5 linked regions of the Macaca fascicularis genome follow. The main gene of each other region encodes a partner of the protein of the gene in region 5 in a complex. Links are inferred from orthologs where the notes say so. Each region holds a gene or a part of one and is shown on either strand. Other genes may lie near its edges. The genes, in order: TIMM50, TIMM17B, TIMM21, TIMM17A and mitochondrial import inner membrane translocase subunit Tim23.

Region 1 (4,098 bases), on a different chromosome or scaffold from region 5:
ATAGAAAATCATGGTAGGAAGGGGCCGGGCGCGGTGGCTCACGCCTGTAATCCCAGCACTTTGGGAGGCCGAGGCGGGCGGATCACAAGGTCAGGAGATCGAGACCATCCTGGCTAACACAGTGAAACCCGGTCTCTACTAAAAATACAAAAAAAGTAGTAGGGCATAGTGGCGGGCACCTGTAGTCCCAGCTACTCGGGAGGCTGAAGCAGGAGAATGGCATGAACCCTGGAGGCGGAGCTTGCAGTGAGCCGAGATCGCGCCACTGCACTCCAGCCCTGGTGACAGAGCAAGACTCTGTCTCAAAAAAAAAAAAAAAAGGAAGGAATGGGAGAGAAAACAGATTCCTCCTCCCAGCTCCATGTGAGGAAGAGTTTTATTATTAATTTTTATTTTTTTGAGACGGAGTCTCCCTCTGTCTCCCAGGCTGGAGTGCAGTGGCACCATCTAGGCTCACTGCAACCTCCGCCTCCCGGGTTCAAGCGATTATCCTGCCTCAGCCTCCCCAGCAGGTGGGACTACAGGCGTGCACCATCATGCCTGACTAATTTTTTTTTTTTTTTTTTTTTTTTTTTTTTTTTTTAGTAGAGAGGGGGTTTTGCCTTATTGGCCAGGCTGGTCTCAAACTCCTGACCTCAGGTGATCTGCCTGCCTCAGCCTCCCAAAGTCCTGAGATTATAGGCGTGAGCCACCGCGCCTGGCCTATTATTATTAATTTTAAAAATAGAGATGGCAGTCTTGCTATGTTATCCAGGGTGGTCTCAAACTCCCGGCCTCAAGCGATCCTCCTGCCTCGGCCTCCCAAAGCGCAGGGATTACAGGTGTGAGCCACCGTGCCTGGCCAAAAGAGTTTTCGAGGACTGGCTTTTCAGGTCGCTTTCAGGGCCTCAATGTATATTTCTGACAATTGGGAGGTGAGGGCCGATGCCCTTACACAGTGAGACAAGCGACCTGACTCGTGACTATTTTTTTGGACAAATCAGGCAGCCACTGACTCCATTATGGCCTCAGCTTTACCTCTGGGCAATGAGTGTGATCCCTTCCCTCGCTGCGTCCTTTGCAGGGGCGGTGGCGCTCTGCAAGGCCCAAGCGGGGCGTGGTCCAGATGACTTTGGATCCCAGTTGGCGCCCCCCCAGAGGCAGCCAGGAGAATGGTAAGAGGCAAGCGCGCCTGCAGCAATCCGCCCGATGACTTTGGTCTCTCTCGGGCTTCCGTCCACCCGCCCCGCCTCCGCGCTTCCATTGGCTGTAGCTCCGGCCCGGGGCGGGTGAAAAGGGAGCGAGTGGGCGGGGCCGCGTGGCGTCAGCGCAAGATGGCGGCCTCGGCAGCGCTGTGCTCGCGCTTGCGGAGCGGGCTCCGGCTCGGCTCGCGGGGACTGTGCACGAGGTTGGCGACGCCGCCCCCCCGGGCCCCAGATCAGGTGAGCGGAACGAGGGTGGCACTCTGAATGTGGGGTCCCTTCCCTGGAGTTCCGGACATATCGCCGCCCCTTGGGGGTTCCGGGACGCCTCACCTCAGGGTGCTGAATGAAACGCCGCTTGCGTTTTGGGGCCCTTCCCAGCCTCCTGGGTGGACAACACTTGCTCCCCTAGGCTGGAGGCTGGGAACCCAGATGTGTCCTCTAGACCCCACCTCCCACCCACGTGGGTGCCGGAGGAGGAGAAGGTTACCGGTTCCCCATCTCAGTGACCACTCAGGTGATACTTGAGCAGGAGGGGCCTGGTATGCTGGAGTCCCAGTCTGGCCGTGGGAGTTATTTTCTCTGTGGCGTTGGTGGTGATGAGGTAGACGTTTGGGTTTCCAATTCGACCTGCCTCCATGTTGACAGAGACCCAGCCATTCTGACCTCCAACTCTATCACTTCTGTACCCGAGTTCCCCAAGCCCCAGACAAGTGATTGCCCCTCCCCGCCTCCGCTCCCATCCCTTACCCTGTAACTCTGCTACCTTTAGCCCCAAGCAGCCGGATGTCGTAACTCCCCGTCCTGTCTGTCCCCCTTCCCCCACCACTTGTGACCTCCGTTTCCTCTCATCCCAGTGTTTAGGCCCTCCCATCCCTTATTCTCCGTGCTCTGCTTTTCTGGACTGCAGACCCTCCAGTCCTGTTGCCTTCAGGATCCTGTGCACCTGGCCTGTTAGCTCTTAAAACTCCTGGCATCCTGGTGCGGGACAGTCTGCTTTTGACCCTCTGAGCGCCCCACTTCCTGACTGCGCCTCCAGGGACACAGATGTCCAGGGCTCTGTGGGTGTCTGCCTCTTGGCTCCCGAACTTGATTCTTCTTGTACTGGAAGGTTGGAACCATCCTGACCTCTCTTCTCTCTTAGCTGACCTCCCCTTTCTCAATCGCAGGCCGCAGAGATCGGGAGCCGCGGGGGCACTAAGGCACAAGGGCCACAGCAGCAGCCGGGTTCAGAGGGTCCCAGCTATGCCAAAAAAGTTGCGCTCTGGCTTGCTGGGCTGCTTGGAGCTGGTGGGACCGTGAGCGTCGTCTATATCTTTGGTGAGGGACATATCCCTGCCTTCCAGTTTTGTTCCTTGGCCTCCCTAGTCCACTGTGAAATCTCCCACTCTTACCCCCTACCAACGTGTCTCATCTTCATTCCCTGGCTCCTTCCTCAATAGGGCAGCCAAATAGGACACCTACCTTGAAAACCAGGGAAGTCTTCTTTCTTCTCCCTTCTGCTCCTTAAGGTTCTAGTCTTTCTAGTTGGTTCCTGTACCAGAATACAGGAAAGAGGGAAAGATGGGGAAGGATAGGCCTGAATCAGCTTCCTAAACTTTGTCTTTACTCAGCACCCAAAAATCCAGCCTTCCACTAGTTCCTTTATCCCACAGACCCAAGAGTCCCAGCCCCAGCCCCCTTTCTCTCAAAGACCCAGGAATCTTGGCTCCCAGCCCCCTCCTGGCTTGAATCCAGGAGGCTGTGCCTCTAACTCTCTTTCCTCAGATCCAGGAGTCCAGGCCCTTTATCCCACTCCTCCCTCAGGACCCAGGGGACTGGGCCCTAATTCCTCATATTCATCCTGGTCTCCCTTGCAGGAAACAACTCAGTGGACGAAAATGGTGCCAAGGTGAGGGGGAAAGAGACCGAGGCCTTGCCAGGAGTCCTAGCCTGTGGGTGAGAGGGGTCCTCTTTGGTCTGTTTAGGCACATTGCTTGTCTGGAGTGAGCCTGTCTTTCCCAGTGACCTTTGCCTATTCCTGTTGGGGTCCTGGAGATTCCTTTTCTGTATGTGATGGGGTTCTGCCTCTGACATCCTAAACCTTCCATTTTTCTCTCCACCTCCCAGATTCCTGATGAGTTTGACAATGGTGAGTGAACAAGCACAGATTCTGGAGTCCCTGACCCTCTCAACTCTGTCATTTGTAAGGATGTCTCTCTCCCCATCTGGTGTCTCCGGCCCCTCCTCCTTCCACTGGGGAGGTGGGGGAGCCAGCAGCTGGATGGCGTTGTGGGGAGGGACATTACAAAGCCCAAGCCCGCTTCCCTGGCCCCTCAGCCCCGAGCAGATGGTCAGAGACAGATGGGGGAGGGGAGCCTTGGGTGGGAGGGCTTGGGGACACAGCGTGGCCTATCTCCAGACACATGGGTTCCTGTGTCTTCGACCAAGCATCTGCAGCTCCCAACTCCTTCCCCATCCCCCTCAAGCCCCTACCCCATTAGGCTCATTTTCAAAACAACGCCTCCTTCCTCCCTCTCCATCTGGTTAACCAGCTTTTGGTGGTGAAGTTTATGACAAATTGGATAGTAGAGATTAGTTGTCAATCGTGTCATACCTGGCTCTTCCCAGGAGAAGAATGAAATTGGTGGGTCCAGAAAGCCACCTGTTTATGTTGGGGGACGTTTGCAAACAGTCATGTTAATACATTGATTGTTTCAAACTGGGCAGGTGGGTGAGTGCCATTTTAACCGGGCAGTTGTAGAATCATGCTGTCTTCCACAAATAATATGCTGAATTAAATTGGGCAGGTAAATCTGAAGTTTTAAAGTGTATATGTTTACTAGCCTAACTGGTTTCAATATTGTGTTTTTTTGTTTTTATTTTTTATTTTTTTGAGACATAGTCTTGCTCTGTTGCCCAGGCTGGAGTGCAGTAG
Region 2 (4,067 bases), on a different chromosome or scaffold from region 5:
TATATCTATCTCCCCAAGTCCCTCACCTCCAATCTGGGGGGCTCGGATCCTCACAGCGTTGGTACTACCTCTCAACCGGTGCCGAATTCCCTGGGGAAAGGAAGGAAGTCCGTCAGGGCAGGGCTGAAGCCACTGGCAGACAGGTTTCCAACTTTTAAGAGAGGGAAAAAGATGGGAGACCTGTTAGAGGTATCAGCAGTAGAAATGTGGAAAAGTGGCCAAGAACTAGGGTCCTGGAGAGCGCCCCAACATGGGTGTTCTCAGAGGTGGGTTGAGAAGTGCTAATGCATTCATACGTTTGTTCATTCATTCATTCAGTGAATGATTAACAAGTACCTACTATATGTGCCAAGCACCATGCCATATGCAGAGATACAGCCATGAACAAGGTAGATCTGCTCCCTGCCCTCTCAGAGCTCACATTAACAGTGGGAGACACAGACCTTGAGCAAGGATAAGTAAACAAGGGCGCTTCAGCAATCTGCACTCTAGAGGAAATGCCATGAAGAAATATGATTGGGGCTGAGGGGTCAGGAAAGGCCTCTTGAAGGAGAGAGAATCTGTGCTGAGACCTTGATGATGACAAACTTGGGCAAAGATCCAGGGAGGAGAGTTCCAGGAGTCTAGGGGAGGGACGGGGCTACATATATAAATTGCAGAGACTTTGGCTAATAGATGGCATTTAAAGTCACGGCATTTGCGATCTTCTGGGAGGGGAGGTGGTCAGAGAAAAAGAACTATGTTAAAAAAATTCTCTCAACTTTAAGGCTGTCTTCCCTCTGCCAATTAAATTCCTGCCATTTTCCTCTATACAGGTTTCTGAGTCAGAATCTGCCTCTAGGTAAAATGTGTCTGGTCCTGGTGCAGTGGCTCACACCTGTAATCCCAGCACTTTGGGAGGCTGAGGTGGGTGGATCACTTGAGTTCAGGAATTAGAGACCAGCCTAAGCAACATGTTGAAACCCAGTCTCTACAAATAAATAAATAAATAAACAAATAGTTAGCCAGGCATGGTGGCGCAGTCATGTGGTCCTAGCTACTTGGGAGGCTGAGTTGGGAGGATCACTTGAGCCTGGGAGGCAGAGGCTGTAGTGACCCCTGATTAGGCTACTGCACACCAGCCTGGGCAACAGGGCAAGATGATGTCTCAAAAAAAACCACAAAAAACAAAACAAAACAAAACAAAAAACATTGGCCAGGCATGGTGGCACACGCCTGTAATCCCAGCACTTTGGGAGGCCGAGGTAGGTGGATCAACTGAGGTCCAGAGTTCGAGACCAGACTGGCCACCATAGTGAAACCCCAACTCTACTAAAAGTACAAAAATTCGCCAGGTCTAGTGGTACTTGCCTGTAGTCCCAGCTACTCAGGAGGCTGAGACAGGAGAATCGCCTGAACCCGGGAGGCAGAGGTTGCAGGGAGCCAAGATCATGCCACTGCACTCTAGCCTGGGCAACAGAGCAAGACTCTGTCTCAAAAAAAAAAAAAAAAAAATCTGTCTGGCTTTGCACATATATTTAAGATTTGGTGATGACTCTTTGAACGACACAGCATTTCCACAGAGGAGCTCCATTTGGGTGGGGTGGAGGGTGGAAGACAGAAGCCATGTTTGCAAATCCCTACAAAATCCCAGATACAGAAGCCAGGCTTGGCACACAGTAGGTGAGTGGCCACCAGAATGAATAAGTGCACGTGACTGGCAGCTCCAAGCAGTTTTCGGAGCAGCATCCCTTGTGGGCAAGACAGCTGACCCCACATCAACCCAGAGAAGGTCTGGACTCACAACAGGGGCATTGCGGAAACCCTTGATGGCCTGGAAGACTCCGCCACCGATGACACCCATAGTGAAGGCTCCACCGCAATCATCCACAATTCGCCATGGGCTGCAAGCAGGAAGGGAAGGATGGGGTTAATGTGAGCCCTCCCCCAGGCCCTGTCACACGAACTCTTTTCTAATTGGGAGAAACCAAGTCACCAGAATGGGAAGTTCCTAAGGAGAAACAAACACTTCAGATAATAAGGAGCTAATCCTGTCACGCTTTTTCCACAGCTCCCCACCATTAAAGCGAGAAATGGGGCAAAGGGGGAGAAATATTAGTCTTCGCCCTGTCTATCAACCAAGGAATCAGCCAACTGTTTTACTGTGATCAAAGATTAAATGAATTGGCACACGCAGAGTTGACGTTTCAATAAGCGACGTAGGCGTGTTAACTAGCCAAGACAGATTGTCAGCAAAGCAGGACCGCGTGGCACCCCTTCTCCGACGGTGTGCCCGTCCAACCATGCCCCGCCCCTTTTCAATCCGGCGCAACTGGGAAAAACCAAGAGCGACCGCGGGAAGCATCCACCGTCCCCGCCGGCCCTCAGCAGGTTCATCCGTACCCCGCCCCCACTGACAAAGGCGACCTGGGAAAAACCACCCGCGGCAACTCGGGATTTCCGGTCAACACTGTACCACCCCTAGCCAGGATGGATCGGCCAGCGTGTCTTTTTTCGTTAACAGGGACTAGGAGATTACGAGGTCAGGAGAAACATGGCGTGGTTCGGCCTTCGCCGCACCTTCTGAGGGGAGACGGTTGTGGCCCCTCATAACGGAGCCCGAGTGACAGGAACCGAGTAGGGGTAGCGGGAGATACGTTAAGAGTCCCCCGAGTCTGGTACATGGCTCTGTGCGGCCGGTGCCTCCCCCGCCCGACCCCCACGGCTGGCCTTGGCGTCGCAGCAACAGTCCGGATGCCAGTGCCCATCGCCGTACCAAGGTTCCCGAGCGTACTCCTCCATGGCGCTGGCGTCTGGCCGCGCAGTCAGGCCACGCCCCCAGCGTAGACGCACACCGGCGTCCAAGCTTTCCGCCTATTACCGGACAGCGATTGGGTCGCTACGCCGCATGTCACTCCAAGGGCACACTCTCATTGGCCAATCGAGTTTCTGCCATTTGTTCATTGCCTCCTGAGCGTAGTCCAGTTACTTTCAGGCTCGGGGAGTGAAGGCCTCATTCAGAGAAGGTCTCATTCTGTGTTTTGGGAAGAGAGTCGTGTGGGCCCAGGTATCGTAGCGGCGACACGAGAGAGACGGCCGGTGTGACAGCCGTCCACTACCTGCACGAGTGTATTGGTAATGTTGGGGTGGGCGTACTCTTTTGGAGCTGGAGGAAGTGCTGCCCTCTGCTCCCCCATCCCAGCGCTTTGGTTTCTCCCACCCGGCAGTCTTTGGGGGACGCTGGATGAGCCCATTTCTGAAGTGCGGAGGGGCCGGGCTCCTTAGGCGGGCGGAGCCTGGGCCTGGGAGAGGAACAGGGCCCTGGAGCACCCGGTTTCGGGACAGTAGGGTTGGTGAGAATTGCGATAATATTGCCACCTAACTCTTACATCTTTTAGTGCGTATGTTCTGTCCACCCAACTACTGGTTCATTTGAGTAGATGGGAGTCAGATGAGTACATGTTGACGGGAGGGGCTTGGTGACGGGATCCAGATATGAATCTATCTGAGCTGCTTGTCAGTTTGTCCGTCTGCCCCTAGGTCTATCAGCTATGCCTCTGCCCGTTGCGCTGCAGACCCGCTTGGCCAAGAGAGGCATCCTCAAACATCTGGAGCCTGGTGAGTCGGCTAAAAGCAGATGGTCCTAACACGTGCCAGCCTCGACAGGCACTTTTGTTGTTGATACTGACTATCGTGGGCCAACTGCACCAAGCAATGGGGTGGCAGGCATTTTTCATTGTTAACGATATGGATTCCTGACATCCATCTCTACCGCGTGTCAAGTGGAGCGGGTTGGGGGAATAGATATTTCATTCTTTTTTTTTTTTGAGGCGGAGTCTCACTCTGCACCCAGGCTGGAGTGCAGTGGCGCGATCTCGGCTCACTTTGACCTCCGCCTTCCGGGTTCAAGCGATTCTCCTGCCTTAGCCTCCCGAGTAGTTGGGACTACAGGCACGCTTCACCACACCTGACGAATTTTTTTTTTTTTTTTTTTTTTTTTTTTTTTTTTTTGAGGCAGAGTCTCGCTCTGTCGCCCAGGCTGAAATGCTGTGGTGCTTCACCACACCTGGCGAATTTTTTTTTTTTTT
Region 3 (3,970 bases), on a different chromosome or scaffold from region 5:
TTAACCTCAGATGACTCCTGAGGCTGAAGGCAGTTGCTCTAATGCAAAGCTCTGAACATTGCCCCGGTTTCTGGACCTGAACCAGTTTTCAGACCTGGAACCCATTTACTGAAGGAAAGTGTATGTGACTGACTACCCCGGTCCTTCACCAAAAGGACCTATAGTTATCAACTTGGACATAGTCTGTGCTGACAGTGATATCCAAGGACCCAAAGAGTCATGATGACCCCCCGACCACCCCCCACCCCCCCGACAGCATGTAAGAAGCTCACAGCTGGGTCCAGGGACTTATCTGGTAATAATTTCCTTGATTTCCAAATGTATAAATCAAGGGGATGTACTGAGTAATTGGCAACAATAACTCCCACTTTAGTTCCTTTGGAAGTGGGTTAAGAGCTATCAGAGTGGGAAAAGTCAAATGGAAGCCTCTGAAACTGCCCCAGTGACCAAGGTAATAAATTAAAAATGGTATCACATCCATGGGGAATGGCAGAAAGAGTGCAATTCTTAGAGACCTTAGATACAGGCATGGTGGCCCCTATCACAGTCCCTTGTAATTTACCAGTCTTCCTTTACAAAACACAAATAGGCGCTGGAGAATGACAGTGGTTAACTGCAAACTTAACCAAGTGGCAGCCGGGGTACACATGCAATACCACACATGGTAACTTTACACGGCAGTGCATTAACACAATCTCATGGTATTGGCCATTGATTTGAAGAATGCCTTCTATTCAGAAGCAGCAGCAGGAGTAGTGTGTAGTAACATGAAACAGATAATAACAGTGTATGTTTATGATCCTGACCAGGATTTGCTAATTCTCTCACCCTCTGTTGTTACAGTCTTAAGGGAGTGAAACTTTCTGGATCTGGGCTGTCTAATACAGTAGCCACTCACCACTCATGGGTATTTCAGTTCAATTTTAAATTAATTAAAATTCAGTTCTTCAGTAACATAATTTAGCAACATTTCAAGTGCTCAAAATAGCTACAAGTGGCCAGGAACTACCCAAATGGACACCATAAATATAGGACATTTCTATGACTGCAGAAAGTTTTATTTGAATAATGCTGTTCTGGACATTCAGCAGAATATCACATTTGTCTACTATGTTTACACTATCGTGTTAGAGCCCAGAAGTAACAAGTGGCAAGTGTGTTAGAAGGCTTGGTCAGACAAGCTGCAAGTGTGAGAGGTGGGCCCAACAAAGATGCAGAGGCTCACCAACACATGAGCTGACCTCATGGGGCTACACTGGGGTGTGCCAGGACATGCCCTCCCAAGTAAAAGACAATTGTACCCTATACCTACTACCACAATGTTTCTTTGAATTCTGGACACAGCATATTCCATATTTGGGAATGTTGCTCCCATCCATTCATTCAGCAACAAGGACTGTCACCTCTGAATGGGGTGCAGATCAGGGAAGGGGTCCCTAAGCAGGCCTGGCATGCAGTGCAAGCAGCAGCACTGTTGCCTGAGCCAGATTACCTGACACACATGCTGTTTGCCACTTCTATGCCTTTCACCTCTGCATACGGATTGTTCCTTCGTGCTGAACTATTACAAATGAAAAACTAGGTTTTTGGCATATTCAGCAGATTACAAAACAATTGGTAGAATATGATTCAATTTTTTGGGTTAAAAATTATTAAAAGGTATGTGTATGAAAGTGCAAAATGTTAAAAATAGTCATCTTTGTGTGGTATAATCATGGGGTCTAAATTGCTTTGTCCTTTTTTTCCTACAAATCACATGCGAAATGAAGAAATTAAAAAAAAATCTTAAAATATCTGTGAACATATCTCTGACTTTCCCTGACAAATTACATTCCATCCTCCCTAGTTTATGTTTTTCTATTATTGCAGGTAACATACGAAAGTTTTCCCTATTGATTATGAGTCAATAAGCTCTCTCTCTCTTTTTATCCTATCCAATTACTCTTTATTATATGTAACAGAGCCAATACAACTTGAGAAAAATTTCCCAAACATAACGAAAGAAAGTTATATCAAATTCAAGATCAACTTTCAAATCTGAGTTCCAATCTGTGAAGAAAACTGTAGGTCTATATGTTCTAGCTCTAAATTATGTTTAAACGGCTTTTAAAAATTCATGTTAATTGCTTTTTCACCTTTAGTAGTGAACTTGGTGTAAAAGAGCATTGGCAGCTCTTGTCACGTCTGTTGAAAGACCAATCATTGAAGTACTCCTTTTTACCTTTTTGTGATGTTGGGACGGCGGTTCCCTCTCTTTGACTCCTGTGTACAGACACTTGTTTGCTGCTACCCTCCTTTGCTTTCCGGGGGCTCGGTCCCTGCGTCCAGATGGTTTTCTGAGTGACTCCAAGAATACATCTAGGTCGCACTGTTTTCTTTTGATATTGAAGCCCCCATCTCAAACTGGGCTCAGTCTTCAAGCACGCTTTGTTAAGCACAATGTGGGGCAAAAGCAATCGCTTTGCCGAGGACCTGTGCAGCTTCTCCGTATACTGTATGGCTCGTAGAAAAGTACAAATCATGTTCACAGAAAATCGTTCCGCTTAGGGACGATGCTAACTACAATTAGGAAAGTTTTCGGGTTCACTACACATCTGGCCGGACACGTACTCAAACCTATACGTTTACATTACATGGCGTGTTAGGCAAAAACGTTGGCTTCAGCAGCGTAAATGAAAACGAAAAATCTCCAGGGAGAACCTGCTGTCTACCTTCCCTTCTGTTTTCTTTGAATCAACACGCTCTGATTACCTTCTGGGCTGACATTCACAGTGTCCCCGCCATGTCTTCGCAAAGTCACCTGGGAAACCCCCCGTCTTCCTGGGAATAGTAGTTTGAAGACCTCGCTCTTAACTGGGATGCGGCAATGGGGCGCGCACAAGAGACTACATCTCCCACAATTCAAGGCGGCCAGAGCACGGCGCAGGCCGTTCCCGCGCCCCCAGGCGCTTCCGTGCCCAGCGCCTGCGCAGACGCTGCGCGTCCTTGGAGAGGCGGGAAGGCGGGGAGTTGGTGGGGTAATTGGTACCACAGACCCTACGTAATTCAAGCGGGACTTGCAAAAGCCAAATTAGCAGTTACACACTACGTGTTTTCCTTATCCTTCTAGAGTGGACTGTGCACAGTGGGAAGTACTCCCTCTGACTGTGGTCTTCTCTATTCCGCGTGGGCAAATGATTTCGTTTTTGCATTTCACTGTGTTTTCAGAAAAGCCGGACAAAAAAGAGTCAGCAAGTGGAGATGAACGAGGCCGCTGCAAAGCAGGCACCGGTTTCCTAAATGGTTAAGCCGAGGACTTGCTTAGCGCCCTTGGTGGCAGAATGTAGGGGTGGGGAAAGAAGCTGGGGCCCGGAAGTTTCTAGAAGCCCGCTTTGCGAGCGGCTGTCTGGCGCGGTGCCGTCTGCGCACGCGCCAGGCCAGCGGTACTTTTGTGAACTTGCGCATGGGCGTAAGGGGGTGTGGCGACGCGCGGGCGTGGGGGCGGTGCGTGCCCTCCTAGTTTCCGCCCTTGAGCGGGTCTATGGTGAACTCGTCTCCATGGCGACTGGACGCGGTCGGATCTTGCAGCAGCACTGGCTCGGCCTCCAGACGCTGCGCGGGCCCAGCAGGGGAGGTGGCGCGGCCCGGGGGCGCGCCAGGACCTTTGGGTTCAGGTGACTGTAGGGCCTGCGGGTGGGGTCCGCTGGCGGGAAGCCCCTCACTGCGCGGCCCCACTCTCTCCACCGTGTATTTTATTCGTCCAGCTTGGCACAACGCCCGCGGCCCTCTTCAACGTGAGAAGGGTCTGGAAGAACGACCGGAGGAAATCCTTTCTACCCTGCAATGTGGGGTTCCCTAAGTTATAACACAAGTAGAGTAGCCTCTCGGGGAAATATTTTTTCTCGCGGCGCCTGTGGTCGGGGTTACGCTCACTTGCCACGACAGCTGCCGGTCCAAGAGGTGCTTCTCCGGGGTGCGTGCCATAGATTCA
Region 4 (3,997 bases), on a different chromosome or scaffold from region 5:
GACCTCCTAGGCTCAAGCCATCTTCCCGCCTCGGTTTCCTGAATAGCTAGGGCTACAAGTGCGTGCCACTATGCCTGGCCTGGTCCCCATAAGTCCCCTCTTCTCCGAGCCAAACATCTTCACACCTTCCGGTGATCATTAGTGGAGAGGCCTGTGAGAGGTCAATGTCCCTGAAATCGAGGGCTCCAAATTGGTCATGGCTTTCTTCAGATGGCCCAAACAGCTTGTTTCATTTCACAAACATTTATTGAGCATCTACTACATTCCAGGCACTGTGGTTATTATAAATCACTGAGACATTGTTTGCCCTAAAGGAGCTACGTGTATTTAATAACAGCTTCACAATATGTGACGAATAAGATAGCACTAATCCACATTTGACAGCAAAAGTACCAAAAAAGAAAGAAAGAAAAAGAAGAGAGAGAAAGAAAAGAAAAGAGGTGAAAGAGGGCGGATGCGGTGGTGTAATCCTAGCACTCTGGGAGGCCGAGGTGGGCGGATCACGAGGTCAGCAGTTCGATCCAGCCTGATCAACATGGCGAAACCCCGTTTCTACTAAAAATATACAAAATTTAGCGGGACCTGGGGGCGCGCGCCTGTAATCCCAGCTACTCAGGAGGTTGAGGCAGGAGAATCGCTTGAACCCGGGAGGCGGAGGTTGCAGTGAGCGGATATCGCGCCGCTGCACTCCAGCCTGGGCGATAGAGCCAGACTCCGTCTCAAAAAGAAAAAGAAAAAGAAAAAGAAAAAGAAAAGGAAAAAGAAAAAGGAAGAAAGGAAAGAAGGAAGGGAGGGAGGGAGGCAGGGAGGGAGGCAAGGCGCGAAGGAGAGAAGAAAAGGAAAGGGAAGGGAAGGGAAGGCGGAAGGGAAGGCGGAAGGGAAGGGAAGGAAAGAAGCGTATTTAGGAAGTATCGCGTTGATGTCAGGCCACGGAACCTCTGGTGACCGGGTAGTGTAACTCCGTCATTGGTAGCTCCCCGCCCACACAGCCGGGACCCGCGGCCTTCGAGGACATGGACTGTGCCAGTCTTGCCCCGTCGCGGCCAATGCCCCAACCACACGCAGTCCACAGGAGTCCTGGGTCCCATTGGCTGCAGCGGGAAACGGTGAACCAATCCTCATAGGCCTTAACGCCCTCCTCTCGGGGTCACTTCCGCCTCTGGGGTCAGGCTCCGCCCAGCTTGCCCGGCATCACTCGCGGCGTTGGAGTCAACATGGAGGAGTACGCGCGAGAGCCTTGGTGAGCCTCACCGCTGTCTTTGCATTTCTCTTGCCCGCCTGCCCACTGCCCTCCTTCTCCCCTGTCCATGCTCCCAAGGTGCAAGCCAGACTCAACCGCAGCCTTGTCGACTTGGGCCTGGTAACTGTGGGCAATGCAGTCTTTCACGGCCAGTCGGCTTAGCCCTGTACCCACTACCTTCCCGGCCTCGTGAGCCTCGCTCTCCCAACCCAGCACCCGTGTGATCCTGTGGTGGATGGTAGAGAGGTCCAGACTTGAGTTTGATAGAACCTCGGAACCTCCTCCCAACGCAGGGCATAATCGACCTTATGCGGGGCCAGTTATAATCCCCTCTGTTCGCCGAGGTGACCTTGGGCGCGTCCCTCCGTCTCGCCTTGCTCAGTTCCTGCGTTGAGGAACTGAAGAACAAGCATTTGAGGGAGTGTCATTCTTGAGGTTTTACTTGTATCATGATAGGTGTCCGCAGAGCGAAGCATTTTAAGTGAATGGAACATAGATTTTAGCCAAGGGGTCTGGATAAGCTGCTTTAGACAGTGGGGGCATGTTTTTTTCTCCTTGGAATCCTTTCTTGTGGGTAGAGGGGGACAAAAATTACCTGGGAAATAGGAAGAGGTAATAGCATGTGTTCTCCGAAAAGCCATGGACAGAAATTCATTCTTTCATCCAGCGTTTATTGAATGTGAATAAACCAGACACATAGATAATTATAAAACGATGTAATTGCTGTCAGAAGTCTCAGGTTGCGAGAGTTTAAAGTTTCTGGGGTCATAAGTAAAAAATCAAATCTTGATATTTCGATTAATCATTTGTTTTATTGTGTGAGAGCAGCAACCAAGATGTCCTCAATTTGTGAAAGTGCCCAGGACCTTGAGTTATTACTCTGTTATCCTAGCCTTGAATTATTACTCTGCTTTCCTAGCCTTGTTGCCTGTTTCGTGTTCCCTTCTCTCCTAAATGGCATACAAAATGTAAGTTTTAGGGTCTCCTGGCTCTTCAAACTTATCTTCTTCAAAGCAGTTATCCTCCATTCTGGATTGTGCTCAGATATGTAGGACTCAGCACACTGTAAATAGCTGTTTGATGTAGTATAATGACACAGGTTAGCAGAGGATTAAAATATTTAACTATGTTGAGTTAGAGATCTTAGAAAAATAAGGCCAGGCGTGGTGGATTACACCTGTAATCCCAGCACTTTGGAAGGCCGAGGTGGATCACGAGGTCAGGAGTTTGAGACCAGCCTGGCCTATATGGTGAAACCCCGTCTGTACTAAAAATACAATTATTTGCCGGGCGTCGTGGCGCACACCTGTAGTCCCAGCTACTCGGGAGGCTGAGGCAGGAGAATCGCTTGAACCCGGGAGACAGGTTTCAGTGAGCCAAGATCGCGCTATTGCACTGCAGCCTGGGTGATAGAGTGAGACTCCATCTCAAAAAAAAAAAAAAATTCTTAGAAAAATACTGGGTTTTCATTTAGTAAATCGTTAGGTAACCCCTTAACATTCAGTACGTATGTCCTGAAACAATATAATCAGTTACCTGGTTAGCTTTGTAGTCAAAACTGCTTTGATTTTTTGACTGCCCTGTTTGGTCATAGCACTTCCTCAAGTCATTTTATAGGCCAAATATTTATTGGTTGCAGTGGGTCCTGCAATATAATCTGTTCCATTATAATCCTTACTGTATTAGCAAAGATTTTATGGTTTGTGAATGAGAAATGTGGTCTTTTTTTTCCCCCTCTGTTCTTAGCCCATGGCGAATTGTGGATGACTGTGGTGGGGCCTTTACGATGGGTACCATTGGTGGTGGTATCTTTCAGGCAATCAAAGGTTTTCGCAATTCTCCAGTGGTAAGTGGGTGAATGGTCTTATTTTATCATCACTTGAAGTGTGGGTTTGATATTACTGGTGGTCCCATCAGTGGCTTAGAAATGTACTTCTAGGCCGGGCGCGGTGGCTCAAGCCTGTAATCCCAGCACTTTGGGAGGCCGAGACGGGTGGATCACGAGGTCAGGAGATCGAGACCATCCTGGCTAACACAGTGAAACCCCGTCTCTACTAAAAAATACAAAAAAACTAGCCGGGCGAGGTGGCGGGCGCCTGTAGTCCCAGCTACTCAGGAGGCTGAGGCAGGAGAATGGCCTGAACCCGGGAGGCGGAGCTTGCAGTGAGCTGAGATCCGGCCACTGCACTCCAGCAAGGGGGACAGAGTGAGACTCCGTCTCAAAAAAAAAAAAAAAAAAAAAAAAAAAAAAGAAATGTACTTCTAATATATTTTTTGTTGCTTCTTTTTTTTTGTTATAGGGAGTAAACCACAGACTACGAGGGAGTTTGACAGCTATTAAAACCAGGGCTCCACAGTTAGGAGGTGAGCAGAATTTTCATTTTAAGTGAACTGTTTTTTTCTGTTTATTTGAAGATGGAGCTATTTTTATTTTTAGATTATAACAATTAATGATTTTAGTTTGGTCTAACAGTTTGTCACAAACATATATCCCTATAGTTTCTTCTTGATTTTTAGTTTGTTTGAAAAATTAACCTGAATTATGATAGCCATTTGAAAATCTTGTCTCCATCCTTCAGATACTCTGTGATTTTTTTTCACCCTTCTCCAGAAGAAAGTGTGTTTAAAGCTCAGGTTTGAGGCTGGGCATGGGTCGTAATCCCAGCACTTTGGGAGGCCAAGGTAGGCAGATCACCTGAGGTCGGGAGTTCGAGACCAGCTTGACCAACATGGAGAAACCCCATCTCTACTAAAAAT
Region 5 (3,511 bases):
TTGAACCTTGCCTAATATACCAAGCTCTTTACTTTGGACCTAAATTATCTGGATTTCATTTAAACATGATTGGGTGCTGTGCTTGGAAAGGAGAGTGTGCAGTGTTCAAAAGATTTTAAAAATTCAGAAATGGTATTCAGAATGGTATCAGCACCTGAGATTATTTCATAAGTTAGTTCATGGTCTTTCCCTAAGTAGTATCTATATTATGCAATGGAATGGATTTAAACATAATTGTCTCATATCCTAGGACCAGAATATCGGCTGATTAAATTGTTCATGATATTTGTACATTCTTTCTTTAACAATTTATCACACGAGATCTCTACTTACCCAGAGAACCTAGAGTATTAGCCCAAAGTGCCCCTTGCCTAGTCACCATATTCAAAATCCTACCAGGGCAGAAAGAGAAAGAATCTGTATTTAGAATCATTATTTCTCTAGTAACCTTTAAAAACAATAATAATAGCTATTTAACATTTCTAGACCCAAGGCTCAAAATTTTTTAAATTCTAAAATATATCTTAATATCTCAGATTTCAGTAAGGATAGTTTTTACTCTACATAAGTGAAAATTAGGTTAAAACTTTCAAGACTTTGGGCAATAACTGAGGAAAACTCTTATTATTAAATGTATAATATAATGAATACACATTAAATATATGTAAGGCTTTGAATGACAGCCTGGAATGTATTTTAGAGGTTTACAGAAACTAATCCATGTAAAAAATGCCACTGTTAACTATGATGAGCTAGCTTCTAAAAGGTTCTTTTTGGAAGGGGAACATATGCTTAGAATGTTAAAGAGAATCAAAGTAAAGAATATCAAAGTACAGAATATAAAGTAGAATTAAAGAGAAGGAATCAGCCATCTAACTGGGATACACGGGGAAAGCACCCTGGGTCTGCTCCCAGACTAGAACCAAGCAGCCAAGGTGAATGCTCAGCACACGCTCAAGGAAGCACAGTCCTGCCTTGCACCAGTGCCAGACACCACCAGAACAGTGATGGAGGCAACCGGATGAAGAGAAGACATTCCTCTCCCAGCAGTGTAACACCATTCCAGGAATGGTTCTGTCCAGATGGCTGACTACTGCTGGAAATTATGGAAATACAGTAACAAAGAGTGAGGGAACTCATTCAGTTTAATTATTAAACAACTCATTTAATTAATATTCTACAGAAACAAAAATTTGTATTGCTTCTGAAAGGTTGTTTTAAAAAATCAGTCAAGTTTACAAACAGAAGTACATTGTTTCTAATTATGTTACATATTTACTAACGTATTTTTGGTTCAGCCATTATTTTTTCATTTTTAACAAGCATTTTAATAACTCGTTTTAAGAAAGGAATTAAGTTGTCTTTTCTAGATCTACTTCCAAATTTGTATTTAATATGATATTGGGATTTTTGTCTCAAAACAAGATGGGAGAGGAGAAGGAGATGGGATAGAACTGGCCATGGTTGAGGATGGGTTATGGTCCATGTGTTCACTATGCTATGTCTTTTGTCTACTTTTATATATTCAAAATTCCCCATAATACAAAAAGTTAAAAATATTATTGAAGCAAAGGACAAGTAATAAAAATACTGAAGGATCTAGGCTAGCAAAGCATGGACAGAGATCCACACAGTTAACAGGAATATAAAAAACAGGGCTAGGCGCAGTGGCTCACGTCTATAATCCCAGTACTCTGGAAGGCTGAGGCAGGAGGATCACCTGAGTTCAGGAGTTTGAGAACAGCCTGAGCAACACAGTGAGACCACGTCACTACAAAAAATTAAAAAATTAACTGGGTACAGTGGCACGTGCCTGTAGTCCCAGTCACTTGGGAGGCTGAGGTGGGAGGATCACTTGAGCCCAGGAGGTCAAGGCTACAGTGAGCTGTGACAGCGGCACTGCACGCCAGCCTGGGCAACACAGCAAGGCTGTGTCTCTCAAAAAACCCCACAATGTAACAGGCGTTCCAGTTTCCCATGGTCTAGTTCTAGCACATCTGGTGCCATCTGCTGGCTGAACAATATGAAAGGAAGATGGAGTTTAAAGCATCCTAAAACAAAAACAGTAGCCATCGAATAATACATACTTATGAAACATATATGAAGCATAAAAATAGGCAAAACTAAACATATTGTTTAAGGAATATCAGGAGGGACTGGCCATGTTTACTTCTTAAGAAGGGTGAAAACATACTTTCCAATCCTTTTAGCTGTACTTTCCCTTTTCTGCAACTTCAAGTTCTAACAGAAAACTGTGTCTTATCCTTTTGGAATTAACTCTAATTCTAGAAGTTTTATTTAAAATTTATCTGGCTCATCATTTCGGAAACGTAAAGTCAAGACAGTAAGAAGTTCAAGTCAAATGATGGCAGCTTGAGCCATCACGCTCATGAGCTGTTTATGTCTTCATTACCATTTCCTATGGATCCGCATGCCCCCAAACAATGCAAAATTCCCATCGGCAATTCAACAGTTTGAAAAGCATGTCACACAGGGTTGGAGAATGTGACAGGTGCAGCTGAGAAGCCAGGCTGGCATAGCACTAGCTGACTGAGGGACACGGATTCAAAAAATCACTCCTTTTTAAAAGCTTAGAGTCAGTAATCCGATTCCTTAGTTGCTTTTGAGTAGGATTAAAAAACAAAGACAAAAAATCACATAACTATGCTAACCATCTATAATATCAAGGGTGTACTCATCAAACCAACAAAACAGAGCTTAATATTCAAGTATCACTACATCAGATGGTTACATGAGACTTACTGTACATTTCTTGGTTTGGACCAGGCCATGTTCTGGGTTTCCTTCAATCCTAGCCGAAGACCATTCATTGCCCCAAACGCAGCCCCTGGTAAATCATAACAATTCACCCAGATAAGAGAGCTTTACATTAAAAAACAAACAAAGAAACTCAAAACTGCATAGCTACACTTCTGATTCTTTTTCATTTAATAGAAAAAGACAAATGTAAATATTAAAAAAAAACCCTGAAACCAACATTCTAACTGCTTTTGATTTTAAGCACCCTCAACTACTTGAACTGAGCACACTTGAGAAAAAAGTATGTAACACTCACCTGTCATGCAACATCCTCCGATCGTAAAGAAGGCCAGCTCAAATCTGCCCCGGGTTTTATTAGCTCCAGTAGGTAAAATAAACTCATCTGTATCCTAAAAGGATAATAATGAAAACCAAGCTGAGGGTCCCTCAAGATACAAATCTTGTAAAGTCATCTTTTTTAACATTTCAAAGTAGTTTTTCACAGAGAGTAAACCTTAAATTAACTCAAACCTATACTTAAATAAAAATAAAACTTTCTGCAACAGTAATACCTAAATCAAAGTGAAATGAAATAGGAAACACAGTTCTCAGAAGGGAGTCTCATTAAAGACTGTTTCCTTCATAACTTAAATCTGATAGATTTGTGCAAAAGTTAAGTTTAGAAAGGACAGCTCTAGAGAAAGGAATACTGAAAGCTATTAGAAGAATAGAATAGACAAGCAGTCTGGAA

The links.
Region 1: mitochondrial import inner membrane translocase subunit Tim23 (region 5) and TIMM50 share a complex: the UniProt entries of both Homo sapiens proteins name them as parts of the TIM23 complex. The link is inferred for Macaca fascicularis from reciprocal best matches to the Homo sapiens genes TIMM23 and TIMM50.
Region 2: mitochondrial import inner membrane translocase subunit Tim23 (region 5) and TIMM17B share a complex: the UniProt entries of both Homo sapiens proteins name them as parts of the TIM23 complex. The link is inferred for Macaca fascicularis from reciprocal best matches to the Homo sapiens genes TIMM23 and TIMM17B.
Region 3: mitochondrial import inner membrane translocase subunit Tim23 (region 5) and TIMM21 share a complex: the UniProt entries of both Homo sapiens proteins name them as parts of the TIM23 complex. The link is inferred for Macaca fascicularis from reciprocal best matches to the Homo sapiens genes TIMM23 and TIMM21.
Region 4: mitochondrial import inner membrane translocase subunit Tim23 (region 5) and TIMM17A share a complex: the UniProt entries of both Homo sapiens proteins name them as parts of the TIM23 complex. The link is inferred for Macaca fascicularis from reciprocal best matches to the Homo sapiens genes TIMM23 and TIMM17A.

The regions. Positions count from the first base shown.
Region 1 is NC_088393.1:46,561,459-46,565,556, forward strand, and holds the start of TIMM50 (mitochondrial import inner membrane translocase subunit TIM50), read left to right. Parts: upstream 1-1,297; 5' UTR 1,298-1,313; coding exon 1,314-1,421; intron 1,422-2,350; coding exon 2,351-2,501; intron 2,502-3,040; coding exon 3,041-3,072; intron 3,073-3,290; coding exon 3,291-3,312; intron 3,313-4,098. UniProt on the Homo sapiens protein: Essential component of the TIM23 complex, a complex that mediates the translocation of transit peptide-containing proteins across the mitochondrial inner membrane. Has some phosphatase activity in vitro; however such activity may not be relevant in vivo.
Region 2 is NC_088395.1:49,050,585-49,054,651, forward strand, and holds the start of TIMM17B (mitochondrial import inner membrane translocase subunit Tim17-B), read right to left. Parts: upstream 2,801-4,067; 5' UTR 2,782-2,800; coding exon of another isoform or gene 2,756-2,781; 5' UTR 2,748-2,755; coding exon 2,560-2,747; intron 2,522-2,559; coding exon of another isoform or gene 2,470-2,521; exon of another isoform or gene 2,314-2,469; intron 1,884-2,313; coding exon 1,784-1,883; intron 91-1,783; coding exon 27-90; intron 1-26. Other genes in the region: PQBP1 (polyglutamine-binding protein 1), read left to right, coding at 3,224-3,332, 3,520-3,597. UniProt on the Homo sapiens protein: Essential component of the TIM23 complex, a complex that mediates the translocation of transit peptide-containing proteins across the mitochondrial inner membrane.
Region 3 is NC_088392.1:6,591,314-6,595,283, forward strand, and holds the start of TIMM21 (mitochondrial import inner membrane translocase subunit Tim21), read right to left. Parts: upstream 2,803-3,970; 5' UTR 2,523-2,802; coding exon 2,222-2,522; intron 1-2,221. Other genes in the region: FBXO15 (F-box only protein 15), read left to right, coding at 3,538-3,653. UniProt on the Homo sapiens protein: Participates in the translocation of transit peptide-containing proteins across the mitochondrial inner membrane.
Region 4 is NC_088375.1:59,700,001-59,703,997, forward strand, and holds the start of TIMM17A (mitochondrial import inner membrane translocase subunit Tim17-A), read left to right. Parts: upstream 1-1,197; 5' UTR 1,198-1,214; coding exon 1,215-1,240; intron 1,241-2,986; coding exon 2,987-3,086; intron 3,087-3,540; coding exon 3,541-3,604; intron 3,605-3,997. UniProt on the Homo sapiens protein: Essential component of the TIM23 complex, a complex that mediates the translocation of transit peptide-containing proteins across the mitochondrial inner membrane.
Region 5 is NC_088383.1:59,153,614-59,157,124, reverse strand, and holds part of mitochondrial import inner membrane translocase subunit Tim23, read right to left. Parts: intron 3,171-3,511; coding exon 3,077-3,170; intron 2,849-3,076; coding exon 2,764-2,848; intron 1,102-2,763; exon of another isoform or gene 901-1,101; intron 393-900; coding exon 334-392; intron 1-333. UniProt on the Homo sapiens protein: Essential component of the TIM23 complex, a complex that mediates the translocation of transit peptide-containing proteins across the mitochondrial inner membrane.